Notamacropus eugenii: one gene and its partner. The protein of the gene in region 1 interacts with the protein of each later gene in a pairwise test. Links are inferred from orthologs where the notes say so. Each region holds a gene or a part of one and is shown on either strand. Other genes may lie near its edges.

Region 1 (7,333 bases):
AGAAATGGGACTGGGATAGACTGTGTTTAAAGGGCTAATAGAGATGGGTGGTTGGAGATCCACCTCTCTGAGGTGTCTTAATCAGTTAATCAGCAAGCAATTATTAAATGCCCACTGTGTACTAAGCACTGTGCTAAATGAACTTTAGCTAGCCTTCTCTCCTTTCAGACGGGAAACTCCTTGAGAGCAGGGACTTTGCCGATTTCTGTTCTATGTCTTCCTCTGGTTCCTGAAGCCAGGCTTTTCACATAACAAGCAATTACATTTTGCCAAATTGAATTGGTTGGGACGAACAAATCAGTTCCCATTTCCAGCTTCTCATTCAGAGCAATAATGGTTTGAGACTTGCTAGAAAATGATATTCTCATCCTCCTTTCCATCATCTCTTCCTTGTATTCCATACCCCGCCTCCATGGCAAACCATGCACATCCCAGGATGCCACACCGCCAGGGGGAGAGAGGGAGCAGTCAGCGTCACCATCCCCATTCCCCTGCGGAAGAGTCTGCGGGCCTCCTTTGGTGCCTAGGCATGCTGCTCCCTACCTCCACCACAAGGAGTCAGCAGAGGGTTGTACCTGGACCGGGAGCCTAAGCAGTGGGATTGGAGAGGCAAGAGAGGAAAAGGAGAGGGTGCCCCTGTACAGCGGATACTCCTGGGAATGAAGGTGTGGCTGAGCACTTCCTATGGCCGAGACACAGACGGACTGCAGCCTCCTTCAAGTCCACCGCTAAAGAGGTGTGGGGATTTGCAGATGTCATCTGCTCCTCCATGCCTTCTAAAGTCCCTCTCTCCTCAAATTACTTTGTATTTACTCTGTATATTTTGTATCAGTGTACACACTATTTCCTTCCTGGTAGAATGGTAAGTTAAGGACAGGGACCACTTTTGTCTTTATAAGATCACCGGGCACAAAGCTGAGAAACAGTAGGTGCTTAGTAAGTGAAGGTAGTCTATGTGTTTTCCCTCAAGAGATTGTAATCCCCTGAGGGCAGGACTAGTTTTTGTCTTCGACTAGTAGACATTCAATAAATGGTTATTGAATTACATGAGCCCTCTTCCCCAAGTATCAGGACAAGGTACAGTTTGGGGGAGGGACTGGTAGTAGGGCTGGGGGGGTTGGGTAGTGTTGGACTTGGAGTCAGGAAGACCTGGGTTCAAATCCTGCTTCTGACACTGTGTAAGTACGGAGGAAGTCACTCTCCCCAGGCCAGTTTCCTCATCTCTAAAATGGAGTTGGACTAAATGGTATCTGAGATGCCTTCAGTTCTAGATCTATGATTCTGTGATTCTGCGCGGCCGCCCCCCCCCCCCCCCATCATCCCAGTTTGCTTAGGTGCTCTAAGGAGTCAATTCATCTTGGTTCCTGGGATGTCCCTCCCATCCCTCCCCAGGAGACACAGTCCAACTGAGAGACTTAGATTGAGTAGGGGGAGGCATGCCAGGCACCTGTTTGTTCTCCTTCATGCCTGCCAGTCCCAGGCTGCCACGTGCTCTCAAACTCACCCACACACAGCCCAAGAAACAAAGACAAACAGACCGTGCAGCTGAGAGCCGAGTAGACATTTAATAAATGAAATTCCATAGCTGAGAGAAGAGCTGAATCTTCAGCTCCAGTTCCCACCCCCAGCCTTCATTCCACATGCATTCACTCACCACGAGGCTGGAAGGGGGTGGGGTAGGGAGAGAGAGCCTGTCTCAGCATCCTCAGCCTTGAATGCCAGGGTGAAGAGAAGGCCCATCCTGGGGGAAAAGGGGGGAGTAGCACCTCCCATGCAGCCGTTGGCAGGTGGGGCTCTCCAGGAGCCGAGGGAGCCAGCCAGGCACAGGCTAACTCAGGTGATAAACTGCCTGGCTCTCTCCTAACAACTCAGGGACTGCATTGGGGGAGGCGGCAAGGCAGACAGGCAATGCTACAAGCTGGCAGTCTCCTTTTTTTTTTAAAGTGTGATTATAAATATAGCCAGTGGACACACACACTTTCAAACAAACTTGTCAATCCGGGTAGAAATGAGAAGTCGAAAGAGGCAGGTCTCGCTGTATTTGGGGCGCCATGACTCATGGGCGGCTGCTGTCTCAGGGAGGGAGCTAGTCTGCCCACCCACGAGCCCCTGCCACAGATAGGCTGAACATCTCTGGCACCTCTCCCCACGTGAGTGAATCTCCTGTTGCCAAGTAGAATCCCCTCTTTGTCTAGACTCTAGACGTTACACCTGCAACCTTTTCACCACTGGAACGGCTTCTAACACCTTCCCCTCCCAACAGCTTTCCCGAGTCATGCCCACCTCCCCAGAGACAGAGTCAAAAGCAGAAGGGGGGAAGGGCAGCAGCAGAGGGCAGGGCATTTTATGCAAACTGGCAAGCACAAGGGAATGCACACGAGCAGGCTGGGGCCACAGGTTCGCAGTTTCTCAAGGCTTCTTCCTTCATGTAAAATTTCATAACCTGCGAAGAAAAACCACTCCAAGGAAATATTCTGGGTGTATATATACATTTACACAGCCTGGACATGAACACGTGGCCTTGAAATGAAACAGGCCAGGACTTCATGTACATTCTGTTCCTCCCCTCCAGGAATGGACATATATGAGTACATGACAAAATACAGGAAAGTCCCCACATGAGAAGGCAGCTGTCTGTCTCTTCCTCCAGACATCTTTAGAAGTGGGCTTGATTCTTAGCCACGGGGAGCTGTAGTCTAGGTGTGGTCTTGCCTGGAGGCAGTGAGTGACCTCTCTGGCACCCTAGAAGTTAACAGTTTAATTCAGTTCAATGCCAACATAAGCTGGGAGGGACCTTAGAGGTCATGGAGTCTAACCCCCTTTATTTGACCGATGGGGAAACTGACCAGGGATTTGCTCAAGGTCAATTAGCTAAAGTACATAACAATAAGGCACAATACGGATAAAAATGACTTACTCTTCCCCCCGCCACCCATTGAGTGCCTCTTGGGTGCCAGCTGGGTGGACTGGGGATACAAAGCTGGGCAAGTGAATTTCTTTCTTCCAGAAACTTGGTCTATATTCCTCACGCGGGTGGCTACCTGCTCTCCCCCCATTCCCAGGGAAATCTGGGGATCTAGACTTCCTGCAGCAAGCTAAGACAAATAGACCTATGGAATTCCAAGGAACCCGGAAGAAAAAGAAGCCCAATTTGTAGCCTTAGGGCGTTGTCAGGGGCTGGGGTCACACAGGTGACAGAAGGGCAGCTTGAGCCCATGGATGCCAGCTCTCTATCCATCAAGATGGTATCGTTAGAACGCCCCCCCCCTTTCACACAAGTGTGGGTGCTCTCTGCAGAATCGTGTGCCCCTACCCATACATACATAGAACGTTTTCCCCAACTCAGACACCAGAGTGTGGACACTAATCGATGCGTTCCGCACCCAGACAGCTCTTAGGAACCCAGACTGTACAAAAGCTGGCCCATCCCTCCTTCCCCAAACACCCACAGCCTTGTCACCCCCACACAGAGGATGGCGACCTTTCCCCAACATTCTTTGTCCGCCTCTCCTTGGTATGGGGCGGCTTGCTAGGTCACCCCTAAACTGGCCTATTTACACGCACACACACACACACACAATAAACCTCAGCGAGGCAGTTCAGCCTTAATCCCCCACCTCCCGTTTTTGCCCCATTTTCACCACCTGCCCTCAATGCTCCCCCTCTCCTTCCTCCTCCCGCTGCTAGGATAGGGGAAGGCAGGAAGAGGAACTGTAGGGGTGACTCACCACCAGCTCCGCCCTGTTCTCGCTTTGGGGGCAGGTAGGGGAAACTGAGGCAAGGGGCCAGGATGCGGGGCAAGCTGGCGGCCAGTCACCCAGGCCAAGTCCTCCCCGACTCGGTTCAGGATGGGGAGAGGCTGGGGAGGGGGCGGTCTCCGGGGCTGGGATTGGGGGGGGCGGGAAGAGCCCGGCCCTCCTGGCCCTTTAAAGCCCCCCCACTCCCTAGCACCTCGAGCCTCTTCCTGTGTTCCTTGCCATTTCCTTTCTCCAGCTGGGAGCGGGGCGGGTCCGGGCCCGGGCTGGGGGTCGGGAGGCGCGCGGGCCCCTCCCCCGGTGGGCCGGGCCTGCGTCGCTTCCTGCGGGAGCAGCTGAGCGCGAGCTGGGCAGCCTGCGGAGAGCCGGAGAGCCAGGGGCCGGGCCGGGCCGAGCCGGGCGGGCCGAGCCGGAGCCGGGGAGGACGCGCCGGGGGCCGATCTGAGCGCCGACGGCCGGGGCCCCGAGGGGGCGGACGCGCGGCGGGGAGCGGCCTCCGCAGCAGCCGTGGCCGTGGCCGCGGGCGCCATCGGGGACCCCCTGCCTGCGGCCGACGCCCCCGCGCGCCCCCCACGCTGGCCCAGAGGGCTGCGGCCGCCTCGCCGCTGAGGATGTCCCGGAAGGGGCCGCGGGCCGAGGTGTGTGCGGACTGCAGCGCCCCGGGTAAGGCCCGGGCCGGGGGCGGGCACGGGGGCCCCGGGGTGGGGGGGAAGGAGGTCGAGACGCCAGCGCCCCGAGGCCGGGGGCGGGATGCTGCGGGAGGGTGAGCGGAGGCTGGGGGCTGCGGCCTCGGCAGCCACTGCAGAGCCAGGTGTCCTTGGGAGGGGCACCGGGGTGCCCGGGGGCCCGAGCTGGGAGGGGAGGGGCGCAGCGCGCTGCTCCTGGGCTGCTGCTGGTGCCCACGTCAGTGCTGGTCATCCTGCCCCCTCAGCACCCCCAGCCCAGGGGCCAGCGGGGTCCGTGCTTCAGGAAGGACGTGTCCGGTGCCTTCTCCTCCTTGGGCAGTCTGGCCTCCCCCCCAACGGCATCCACCCCCCCTCCCCGGCTCCTAGGCGGCAGAAGGACTGTGGGGGAAGCGAGAAGGATTTTTCCTTAGGGGGTGGAAGTGTGTGTTCTTAGTTTGTGTCATGGAGTCTCGGCTGCCTCCTTCTGTCTTACACCTGCTGCTCACACGTTGCGATTGCTGTGTAGCTGCAGAGGACATCTGTGGGGAAAGGGGGTGAGCAGGTATCTCCTGCCCTCACCTTGCCCAGCTCCCGGTCCACCGGCCACAGGTCTTCTCACAAAGGTACTCGGAAGGCAAGGGTTACCCAGGGATGCTTGTCTTTAGGCATCCTGGCCTGCCCAGGGCCTGGTAGGGCTGTTCTTCCTGGAGTTAGAGGGGCCAGGGTCAGGCCCTAGGTCCCATTTAATTCTTCAGAAGGTGGTGACTGATTCCTAGGCCTCTGAAGGTGCTAGGGGCTCTCACACCTACTCTGTCAGGCCAAATGGAATCCTGAGACACCATTCCTCAACCCCATAAACAAAGCCTGCTGGGTGGGGGAGGATGAGCAGGCCTGGGTCTTGAGATAGTTTTCCTTCTCCTCAGCCACTACTTGACAGGGAAGTGGGAAATCCCAGCACCATTGGTACCAGGCAGGGAGCACAGGACAGACCCTAGACCTGGGTGCCTAGGGTCTGTGGATAAATCCAGGGCAAGCCAGTAAAGGACACTGGACTCAAATCCTACCTCAGCCACTTATTCTGTGGGTCTACTAGTCCTGTACTTTCCCTGGAACTCGGTTTCCTTCTCTGTAAAAAGAAGGGATTGGTCTTTGATGGCTTCTAAGTTCCCTTCCAGCTTTGCTCTATGCCAGGGAGACCTAGCCTAGGGTCTGAGAGTCAGCTGCCTCCACCCCCTGCCTCTGATTCCATGTTGACTGGCATTTCCCCTTCTCCCCAGAAGAGTGGAGTTCTTTTCCATGTGGGAGTTGCACATCTCTACCTACTTTGGCCCCAGGGAGGAAATGAGGGGACAGACCAGAGGAGCAGTTTCCTTCTGGTGGAAGGGGTGGACTCCGGAGGCAGAAGGGGCTCTTCAGATCTGAGCAGCCTGTTGGGGCAAGGGGTAGTGGAGTCCTAATGGTCATAGGTAACCTTTCTGGGCCTCAGTTCCTTCATCTGTAAAATGAAGAAAATTGGATGACTACAGAGTCACTGTGATTCCTCCACCTTAACTCTGGCTTCATTCATTTGGGAGGGAGATAGGTTTGTACTGCCCACCTCCCCAAATTCCCACTTAGGTTCTGGGTTACAGATCAATTTGCAGAGTTTCCAGAGAACCCCAGAAGGCATGTGGGCAGCTGGTGCCCCAGTGTGCCCTCTCTAGGCTGGCAGAAAGGATCTGGGGAGGCTTATCTGGGGGCTTACTCCCCCTTCACAGGGAGTCTCCAGTGTTAGTGTCAGCTCCAATGATCATTTTGAGATAGGGATGAGGGACATCAGAACAAGCTTTCTAGTGCCCTGTGAGTACCCAGTGAGGGGATAGAGGAAGTTGGTGGTGGTATCTCTGTGGATGCCCAGTTTTGTGACCCTCAGTTGACCCCATTAGTGTCAGAAGGTTAGCCTCTTTGTTGGATGAGATATCCCCAGGTTGGCATAGGACTATGCCCTCAGGGCCCCTCCTCTACCTTGCTCATCTGGCATAGTTAATAGAAGCCTAGGTTTAGAGTCTGAAAAACACTTTAAGTTCTGTTGTAGGCACTAATTCTAACCTTAGTCGTGTCGGTCTCTCAGAACCTCAATTTCCTTCTCTATTAAGATGTGCTGTTAATGCTTGGTAGTCCCCACCTTGCTGAGCTGTTAGACTCAAGTGAGATAATTACCAAGCATTAATTAATCACCTACTGTGTGATCCAGGTGCTAGAAACATAAAGACAAAAACCCAAAAACCCAAGTCCTGAAACAGGCCCTGCCTTCAAGGATCCTATGTTCTATAAGGAAATCATATAAATATTTACAAAGTGACTTCAGAAAGGACATTAGCAACTGAAGGGATTTCCTTTTCTCCATAGGAAGGACTCCTGTGGAGAAAGTAGCATGACATTTTAGCAGATCTTTGAAGGAAGTTAAGGAAATTAAAGATGCTTAAAGGTGAGGAGAGAGTGCATTTCAGGCATGGGGGACATCTGTACAAAGACTTGGAAACTGGCATTGGTATGGAATGATGCCTGGAAAGAGCTTTGTAAACTCTCGAGCTCTCATCAGTAGTGATTAGCATCCTACTCTGAGTGGAAGAAAGGTGACCAAGACTGGTAGAACGTGCGAGGGCTCCTCATCAGTGGCTGTAGCAGACCCCTGAGGAAGACAAACTTCCTGAGTTGTTCAGGCAGAGTTAAAGTCTAGTTGGAATCCTGGCCTGGGTCCTATCCATCCCCTTCACAGATGCACCACATGGCTGCCCTCAAAGAAGACTCCTCTAGGATGTTGGATTAGGGGATTTGGAGTCCAAATGCATTCCAGCCCTGCTAAGTGCCCTGTTTGGGCCCTTGGGCTAGGCAGTCACTTACAGAAGGAAGGGTTGGATGTGAGAACTTTCA
Region 2 (7,617 bases), about 400 Mb from region 1:
CTTAAACCATTACTTTCAGGTACCTCTGCTTCCATTTTGTGCTATGGGTACAGAGCATAGAAAGACTGCCTAACTGAAATTATATTTATAATGTGCTGATGTTTATATAGCACTTAAGGTTTACAAAAATTTTGCTTTACAGATAATTTCATTTTAGTCTCACAAGAATGCTGGGTGGTAGGTGCTATTGTTACCCCCATTGTACAGAGAAACAAACTGAGGCAGACAGATTAGTAACTTGCCCAGAATCACATAGCTTGCAGATGTCACAGGTTGATTTTGAACCTCCAGTCTTTCTGACTCCAGACACAGCTCTCTATTCACAGTGCTACCTAGCTGCTCTATAATATAAAAAGGAACTGATTACATTTTTTTTTTTTTGTTATTCAAATAAAGCAAATGCTTTGGTGCTCATTTGTTAGGTAATCACAGTATGTAGGGGCTTTTATGCATATGTTTTGTAGGTTCTTTGGAATTTAGAATGCTGGATAGCTGATACATTTAATTTTTGTTTCCCCACTTATCTCCTAGATTCTACTGAGTTGCTTTACAAATAAGGTTTTACCCCATTTAATATAAGACATTCTGGGGAAAAGTACTTTTGTAAAGTGAGTCACTTTTTAATTGACTTTTATATAATTTCTGGGAAAGGAGTATGTGTTTGTGTAAGTATATTTGGTTTCATTTTATTTTATTTTATTTCTAGGCCGGAATTTTGGTCTTGATTGTATAGCTGCTAAGAAATTCTTAGTCCCCTAACATCTTGTCACATGTCAGACATTGGGGAAACATGTTTGGCAAAATCATGCTAAGATGGGATATTGGGTCAGGATGGGCATCACAAATTCTTAACAAATAAGGGACAGGAGCTTAATGACTATGACAAGGCAATTTTGAGAATCTTCTACTCAAAAAAATTGTAATTTCTCCAAGGAATAGTGACCAGAGTTTGAGTATCCTCTGCTCTTCCTCTTTGTATGAAGCAGATCTCTGCATTGATAGTTGACAGAGCAGGAAGCATACACTTGTCATACATTGGTTGACCTTACTAGAGGTTCCAAGTTTACTGAATGGAAGTACAAACCCCTACCAAAGATTTGTGAGTTCTATTATTATTGCAAGTGCTAATAATCCTTTTCCTTTTAATAATTCAGAGTTTTCAAAGCCCTGTTATATTTATAGGATTGTAGATTTAAGAGAATGTAGAGGCCTGCTAGTCCAGCCTCCTCATTTTACAGATAAGGAAATGGGAGTTCAGAAATGTCAAATGGATTGCCCAAAGTCACAGAGGCAAGATATCTCAGTGAAGTTCATATTAATCTGCTTCTCATAATGGCTTTGTAAATTAAAGCTAGATATTAATCTTTCTTTTAGAGATGAATAAATTTAGGGTTAGAGAAATTATTTCCTCTTGTCCATAAGAATAGTTAATACCTGACTGGAATTGGAACTTGGATTGGTATCCTTGAACTTTTTTTAAATTGGTAATTGCATTTTATAATGTAATTGTTTTCCTTTAGATTTTATTTTATGCATTTAAAAACATGCTGAGGTTTTTTATAGGTTTCATCAGAATGCCAAAGGAGTTCATGAGATTAAAAAAAGATTTAGAATTCCTGGGCTAGAACCGGAGGTCTTTATCATCTACTATTCCATACTGATTCTTTTGTCTTGGTAGGTGGACAAATTTTGTCATAAGATGAATTAATTTAAATAAAATCTACCCTTTAAAAAAATAATTGATTTCAGATTTTAATAAATCATTTCATTATTATTGGTCATTTGCCAGAACATAGAAATAATTTGCATCATTAATAAAACTTTACACTTAAAATATTCATTACGGCAGGATTTTTCCTTTATCAGCTCTGGTTAGCAGTTTGTTGAGATATGAGTTTATTCAACTAAAATAAGGCTTTGGTAGTGTGTGTGTGTGTGTGTGTGTGTGTGTTACAGACACATACACATGGGTGTCTTCCTTCCTTCCTTCTTTCTTTCCTTCTTTCCCTCCTTCCCCTACCACCTCTAACACTGAATCTAACTTATGAATGTAACTTTACTTTTTATAAGATTCATTGCTGTCTTTGAAGTGTTTGGTAAATTATAAAGTGCTTTGTGAACATAAGCTGCTGTTCTTGTCTTTGCTTACCTTGCAATTCTAGTCCTCTGCCACATAGAGTAAGTAACCTGGTAAAACAAAAGACAATAGGTGTCATTAGGTTAGGCATAGGTTTGTCACTGGTCGTATCCTAGAATCATTTATATTTTTCTAATCCACTGAGTTCATTTTCAGTTCTGTTTAGTCCCCCAGGTTAAAGAGTAAGTGTGTGGGAGGGCTACAGCCTCCTGTTCAGTATGAAGATGTTCACACCAACCCAGATCAGGACTGCTGCCTCCTACAAGTCACCACTCTCAATTTCATCTTTATCCCCATTGTCATGGGCATGATTTTTACCCTGGTAAGTGGATACAGGATGAGAATAATCCTGTTAACTGAATAACCCTATGTGCAGCAGGATAAGAAAGAAGGCCTGACAATGATGTGGTCTTTGGCTAAGCTTGTAGATGAGGACTCTGGAGTTCTCTTCTCATATCTCTGAGGGATTGACTGTGGCTAGGATCTGAGAAAAGAAAAAGTAATGAGAACATAAAGAGAGAAGAGACCATCCTAAGTGGTCTGGTGGTTCACTAGTTCCAAAATCAGCTACCCCTGGCTTGTGGGCAGATGGACTTTTGGATGGGGTAATAAGTTGAAATCCCACTCTCCTGTCTGAATGTTGAGTCTTCAATGATCCATGAACATTGAAGGCGGCCCTATTTGTTTGAGAAATAATAAAGTCTTAGACATAAGACAGACCTCGGGGCATATGGAAGACATCTCTAACCTAGGATGCAAGTTGACACCCCTTGTGCAAAGTTTAGACTGTTTTGAGTCAGTTTACCACGAAGTACTCCTATTTCTATACCTCTGGCACATTGGTCCCATTTCTTATAATATGTTTGGCAGCTAGAGAAGGAAAAATTATGACATTTAGTCTTTTGTGCCTTTTAGGTTTATATTCAGGGATCATTGTCTTTATTTTTAGCTTAAAGAGCTTAAACTGGGATGAGTTTATAAAATTAACCTTAAATGATTTTTCTTTATAAGACAGTTTTAGTAATTTAATTTTATAGAGCAATTGTGGTGCTTTTTTGGAGTTGAGCAGTCTCTGAATTCTCTTTAGACTATACTTTTTTGTAGAGTATAATCTGTAGCAAATCTAGCTTGCTTCATTTGAAGGATTGCTTCATGGGGCTACTCATTTTGCCTTTTCCTTTCAGTTTACCATCAACGTGAGTACTGACATGAGACACCATCGGGTGAGGCTGGTGTTCCAGGATACTCCTGTTCAAAATGGTCGGAAACTACGAAGTGAACAGGGTGTACAAGTCATTTTGGACCCCGTGCACAGTGTTCGTCTCTTTGACTGGTGGCATCCTCAGTATCCCTTTTCTTTGAGAGCTTAGTTACTGCCTCCTGTCTTTGGGGGCAGCCCTGAGCCAGTTGGATAATCCGTTAGTCATCAGAATACAACTAGGAAGGGGGCAGCTGGATTGCCTTTCCTGTTAGTAACTCACATGCTGCTCAATTTCTGGGGGCTCTTACATGGGGCTACTGAAGAATCAAGGGAGGGAAACAATGATTTGTAAACCTATTTTAATGTAAATTCTGCATTTGAAAGGAGAAACTTGGCCCTGTTCCTTGCTTTTAAAAGCCCTTTTTGGTGCTATTGAGTTTGGTGTCTTTTATTTTATTAACCCCACTGAACACAGAAAATGGATGATCTTGATTTGAGAAGAGCTCAGCTTTTTTGAATCCCCAAAACTGGAAAGCTTCTGCATTTCTTTGTGGATTTGAGTCCCATGTTGGCCCATCTGCATATAAGTGAATTTTCTTTCCTCCAGGAAATAAAACAGGTAGTAGGGTTCACAGAAATCTACTCATAATGATTTTTTGTTTTTTTTTTAATGGAGATATTTGTTATTTTAAATTTCTTCTGGCCATTTAAAAATCTCAGATGCTTCTGTACAAAGCTGGAACTTGAGATTTCCTGGGATATGTTAAAAGGTAGCAAGTTATATATATAAGATGAAAAGTAAGAATTTGAAATTTGTCTTTTGTTAGATTGTAGTGAAGTTTTAAAATGAAAAACAGGAAAGTTACTGCAGGGAAGACACTGTTACTCTTCTAGAAATAAGCAGGAGGCATTTATATCATTAAAAGAATAAAAATGATTCATCAATTCTTTGTAAAATTGGCTTCCTGGGCTAATAAATAGGAGGTCCTGATTGACTTTACCTTTACCTTTCACTCAGTGGCCTTGACAGCAGCCTGGGTGCCTCCTGAAGCCTGATCTGCTGCACCTTTGCAGATTTTTGTTTATTCCCTATAGTAGACAGGGGTGGAGTGTTTCTATAGGTGGTGATCTGAGAAAAGAGAACAACTTTTATGTGAAGCTACTATGTTGCTTTTTGATGATCTTAAGATCTCAGTGGATGTGGTGATTGCTGCATCTCATCTAGAGTCTGGCAACAAAGTAGAACCTTCTATTGGAAACCATGTGTCCCAGGTAGCTGATAACATAGGTCAAGCCTCTAAAAATGAATACTGCTTTTTCTACTGCATGGGTTCTGGAAAATTCTGAAAAATCTGCCTGATAATGCAGGTTTGTCTGTCATTAGACCTGTCTGGCCTCATTCCATACCATATGTGTCCTGAGTTGTTAATGGGATGGGTACCTGGGATGGCAACAGCAACATTTTGGGGTTGTCATCAAGAAAAGGGGAGGTTGCTTATAAACTTCCCTATTTTAAAACTTTTTTTTTTTTTTGCATTGGAAGACTAATAGTCTCCCTGAAATGAAACTACTGGAAATAGGATGATTTTGAAAGAAAATGGAAATGAAATTATTTGTCCTGTAGGTGTTTTAATTTGACTTCTGCCGTGTTCACCTTTCTCTTTGCAGAGCCAAACTAGAAGCTTACTGTACAAAAACAGTGCCAGCAGTGGGTATGGGCTCACTTGTCCAGTTGGCATAAGATCGCTTACCTCTTGAATTCAGTGATGATTAATCAGAACATCTTGGTTGAATGCTAACTTTGCTATTTAGTAGCCAGGTGATGTTGAACAAGTCACTCCTAACTTTGTTTCCTCATCTTGTAAAAATGGGGACAATAATACCTACCTCACTTGGTGAGGTAAGTGCTTTCCAAACCTTTAAAGCACTGCGTGTGGGCTGTCGTTGACTCCTGTGGCTTTAGATGTGCAATTTGCCCAGCTACTATTTCTAGAATCTCAGTGAAAGGATTTGCTTGTCTCAAAGCCTTTACTTTGAAGAAGCTTCTGCCTTCTTCCCCACACCCAAGTGCTTGTGGTGGTTATAGGTAATGGAATGTTTTGGCCTGCAGGTTGAACACTTGTCCTTTTCAGTTTTTTCTATGAATTGTCCTCCAGGAGAGCCAGTCTGGGTAAAAGGGCCTATGATTTTCCCCCGAGAGATGGGCATGTCTTCTGACTCATTGGGTTTTGAATCACATTCAACTCCTCCCCACTTCCTTCCTAAAACAGGAAAATGAAATGACATAGGAAATATTTTTGGAGAAGGGAAAAAGGAGAGCAAGGCTCTATGTGCCAAACTTCTGCTGCATAAACTAGTATTTGCTACTGAAATAGAACATGTTATGTATATATTTATAAATACATATGTACACAGTGCTGCACGTATATAAAAAATCTTCACACTGAGAGCAGTGCTCACTGGGTATTCTTAATGGGTTCTGTAGGCACCCACAACTCAGATGAGTGGGGAAGAGTGGTGGCACCAGAAAGGGGGAACCCGCGTGATGGCAGGGAACCTAGGGATCCCCAGGGTTCAGGAAGGGGAGCAGCGATTCCAGCGGGGGGACCCCCACCCGTGCCCCGGGGAGTATGGTCAGTGCATCAACAAGGGGTGGATGGGCACAGCAGGCCTCCCGGAAGAGCTGGGGCAGTGCCCTGTTCACTCCCCCTTCCATCCTGGCACCGCCGACTGGCACTTGAAAATCAAGTTTTCTCACCTGATCTATGGGTCTAATCCCCCGCCCCAAGCTGGGGCAAGTGCTGGACCAGGGAGCAAGCCTGAAATGCCAAGACAGCAAACCCTAGGGTTTAGCTGCCACGTTGGGGTGGGGGCTGGGAGGGGCGAGGTTGGGAACCGCACCCCCAGCACTTGGCCCCCAAACACCCAAATTGATCCCTACCTGGCCAGGGGGCCGCCAAGATGGCGCCAGAAGCTCCACGACTCTCGTCACGTGCCCGGGGCGGGGTCTAGGGCAGCTCCGCCTCCCGAGGCGTGGACATGCTAATATACGTGGCTGGGGGCGGGGCCTCGGGCCGGGCACCGGCTGAGGCTGCAGCCAATTCGGCTCGGGCTCGGCTCCCTCGGACGTGCCGGGCTCCCGCGGCCGGGGGCGGCTCCCTGTTGCCTGTGAGCGGCGCTGGCGGCGGCTGCAGGTGAGGGCCGGGCCGGCAGCGGCGGGGCAGGGTTCTTCGTTTCCCTTCCTCCCCCCCACACCCTCCTACCCCTCCAGGCCTAATAACCCCTGCGGGCTCTGGCCTGGTCTGGTGGCGCGGGTGCCCGCCGCATCCTAGGACCCTGGCCGCCAGGTGCTGACTCGGCCCCTCCTGCCGCCCCTCCGGCTCCTTGCCCTTGAGGAGTGGGGGTAGGGTGGTAGGTGGGGAGGGGGATGATACAGGGAGAGCTGGGTCGTCGATTCCTCCCTACCCTACCCCAGTGACCCCCGCCTCCAGCCCTACCAGTCCGGGGGTGGGAAGGGGAGATGTGGGGGTCGTAGTGGACAGCGCCACCCTTGCAGGAAGCTCAACCTGGCATCAGCTCAGCTCTCCAGGCAGGCCAGGCCCTGGGGAGTGTGGGGGGTGTGGGGCGGGTCTCGGCCAGGAGCTCGTTCCCGCACACTGCCTGCCCGCATTTGTCTAGCCTGTGCTTTTTCTGGGTAGCAATGCCCTCCCTCTCTGCAGTGCTGACGATGGGAAGGGGGGTCCTGCTGGCCAGCACTAAACGGGGGTCTTGGGGGTCCTTGAACATGTGGGGAAAGTGAGAATCAGCTGCGATTCGGGTGTATGTATGTGTTTCGTGGAGGGTTCCTGTGCCAGATGGGGGAGGGGGAGAAAAAGAAGACGGGGTGAAAAGACCGTAAATGTGATTTATGGTTTTTTCGGTGGTGGGGGTAGGAGAAAATCGGGGATCATGGGAGAGGAGAGAAGGAAGTGCCACTAGAAGGTGATGTCACTCTCCTGGGAAAGACTTGTGGTGGACCCCACTCCCAGCTTCCCTTCCCGATGTCTACCGTTTAATGGTGTGGAGGAAAGAGGGGTGATGAGAGAAGTATTGCTCAGGTTTTATATCCCTTCCACTTAGGAAGATTAAAGGACTTGGGCTTGAAAGTGGTCCCTTGGGGCTGCCTTGAAGTCACCTCCGAGGACACCTGGTCTAGAACCTCAAGCGCCCCATTATGTGTATGTGTATGAGTGTGTGTTTAAAGAGCAAAATGTACTTTCATCCAGTCTCCCCTTTCCTG

The links.
Region 2: the proteins of GIT1 (region 1) and PPFIA4 interact in a two-hybrid assay, tested with the Homo sapiens proteins (2 studies listed by BioGRID). The link is inferred for Notamacropus eugenii from reciprocal best matches to the Homo sapiens genes GIT1 and PPFIA4.

What each region holds. Positions count from the first base shown.
Region 1 is NC_092873.1:37,130,876-37,138,208, reverse strand, and holds the start of GIT1 (ARF GTPase-activating protein GIT1), read left to right. Parts: upstream 1-4,290; 5' UTR 4,291-4,366; coding exon 4,367-4,418; intron 4,419-7,333. Other genes in the region: uncharacterized protein, read right to left, coding at 2,697-2,742, 3,729-4,285. UniProt on the Homo sapiens protein: GTPase-activating protein for ADP ribosylation factor family members, including ARF1.
Region 2 is NC_092873.1:437,155,865-437,163,481, reverse strand, and holds the start of PPFIA4 (liprin-alpha-4), read left to right. Parts: upstream 1-4,524; 5' UTR 4,525-6,532; intron 6,533-7,617. Other genes in the region: TMEM183A (transmembrane protein 183A), read left to right, coding at 2,304-2,459, 3,322-3,507. UniProt on the Homo sapiens protein: May regulate the disassembly of focal adhesions. May localize receptor-like tyrosine phosphatases type 2A at specific sites on the plasma membrane, possibly regulating their interaction with the extracellular environment and their association with substrates.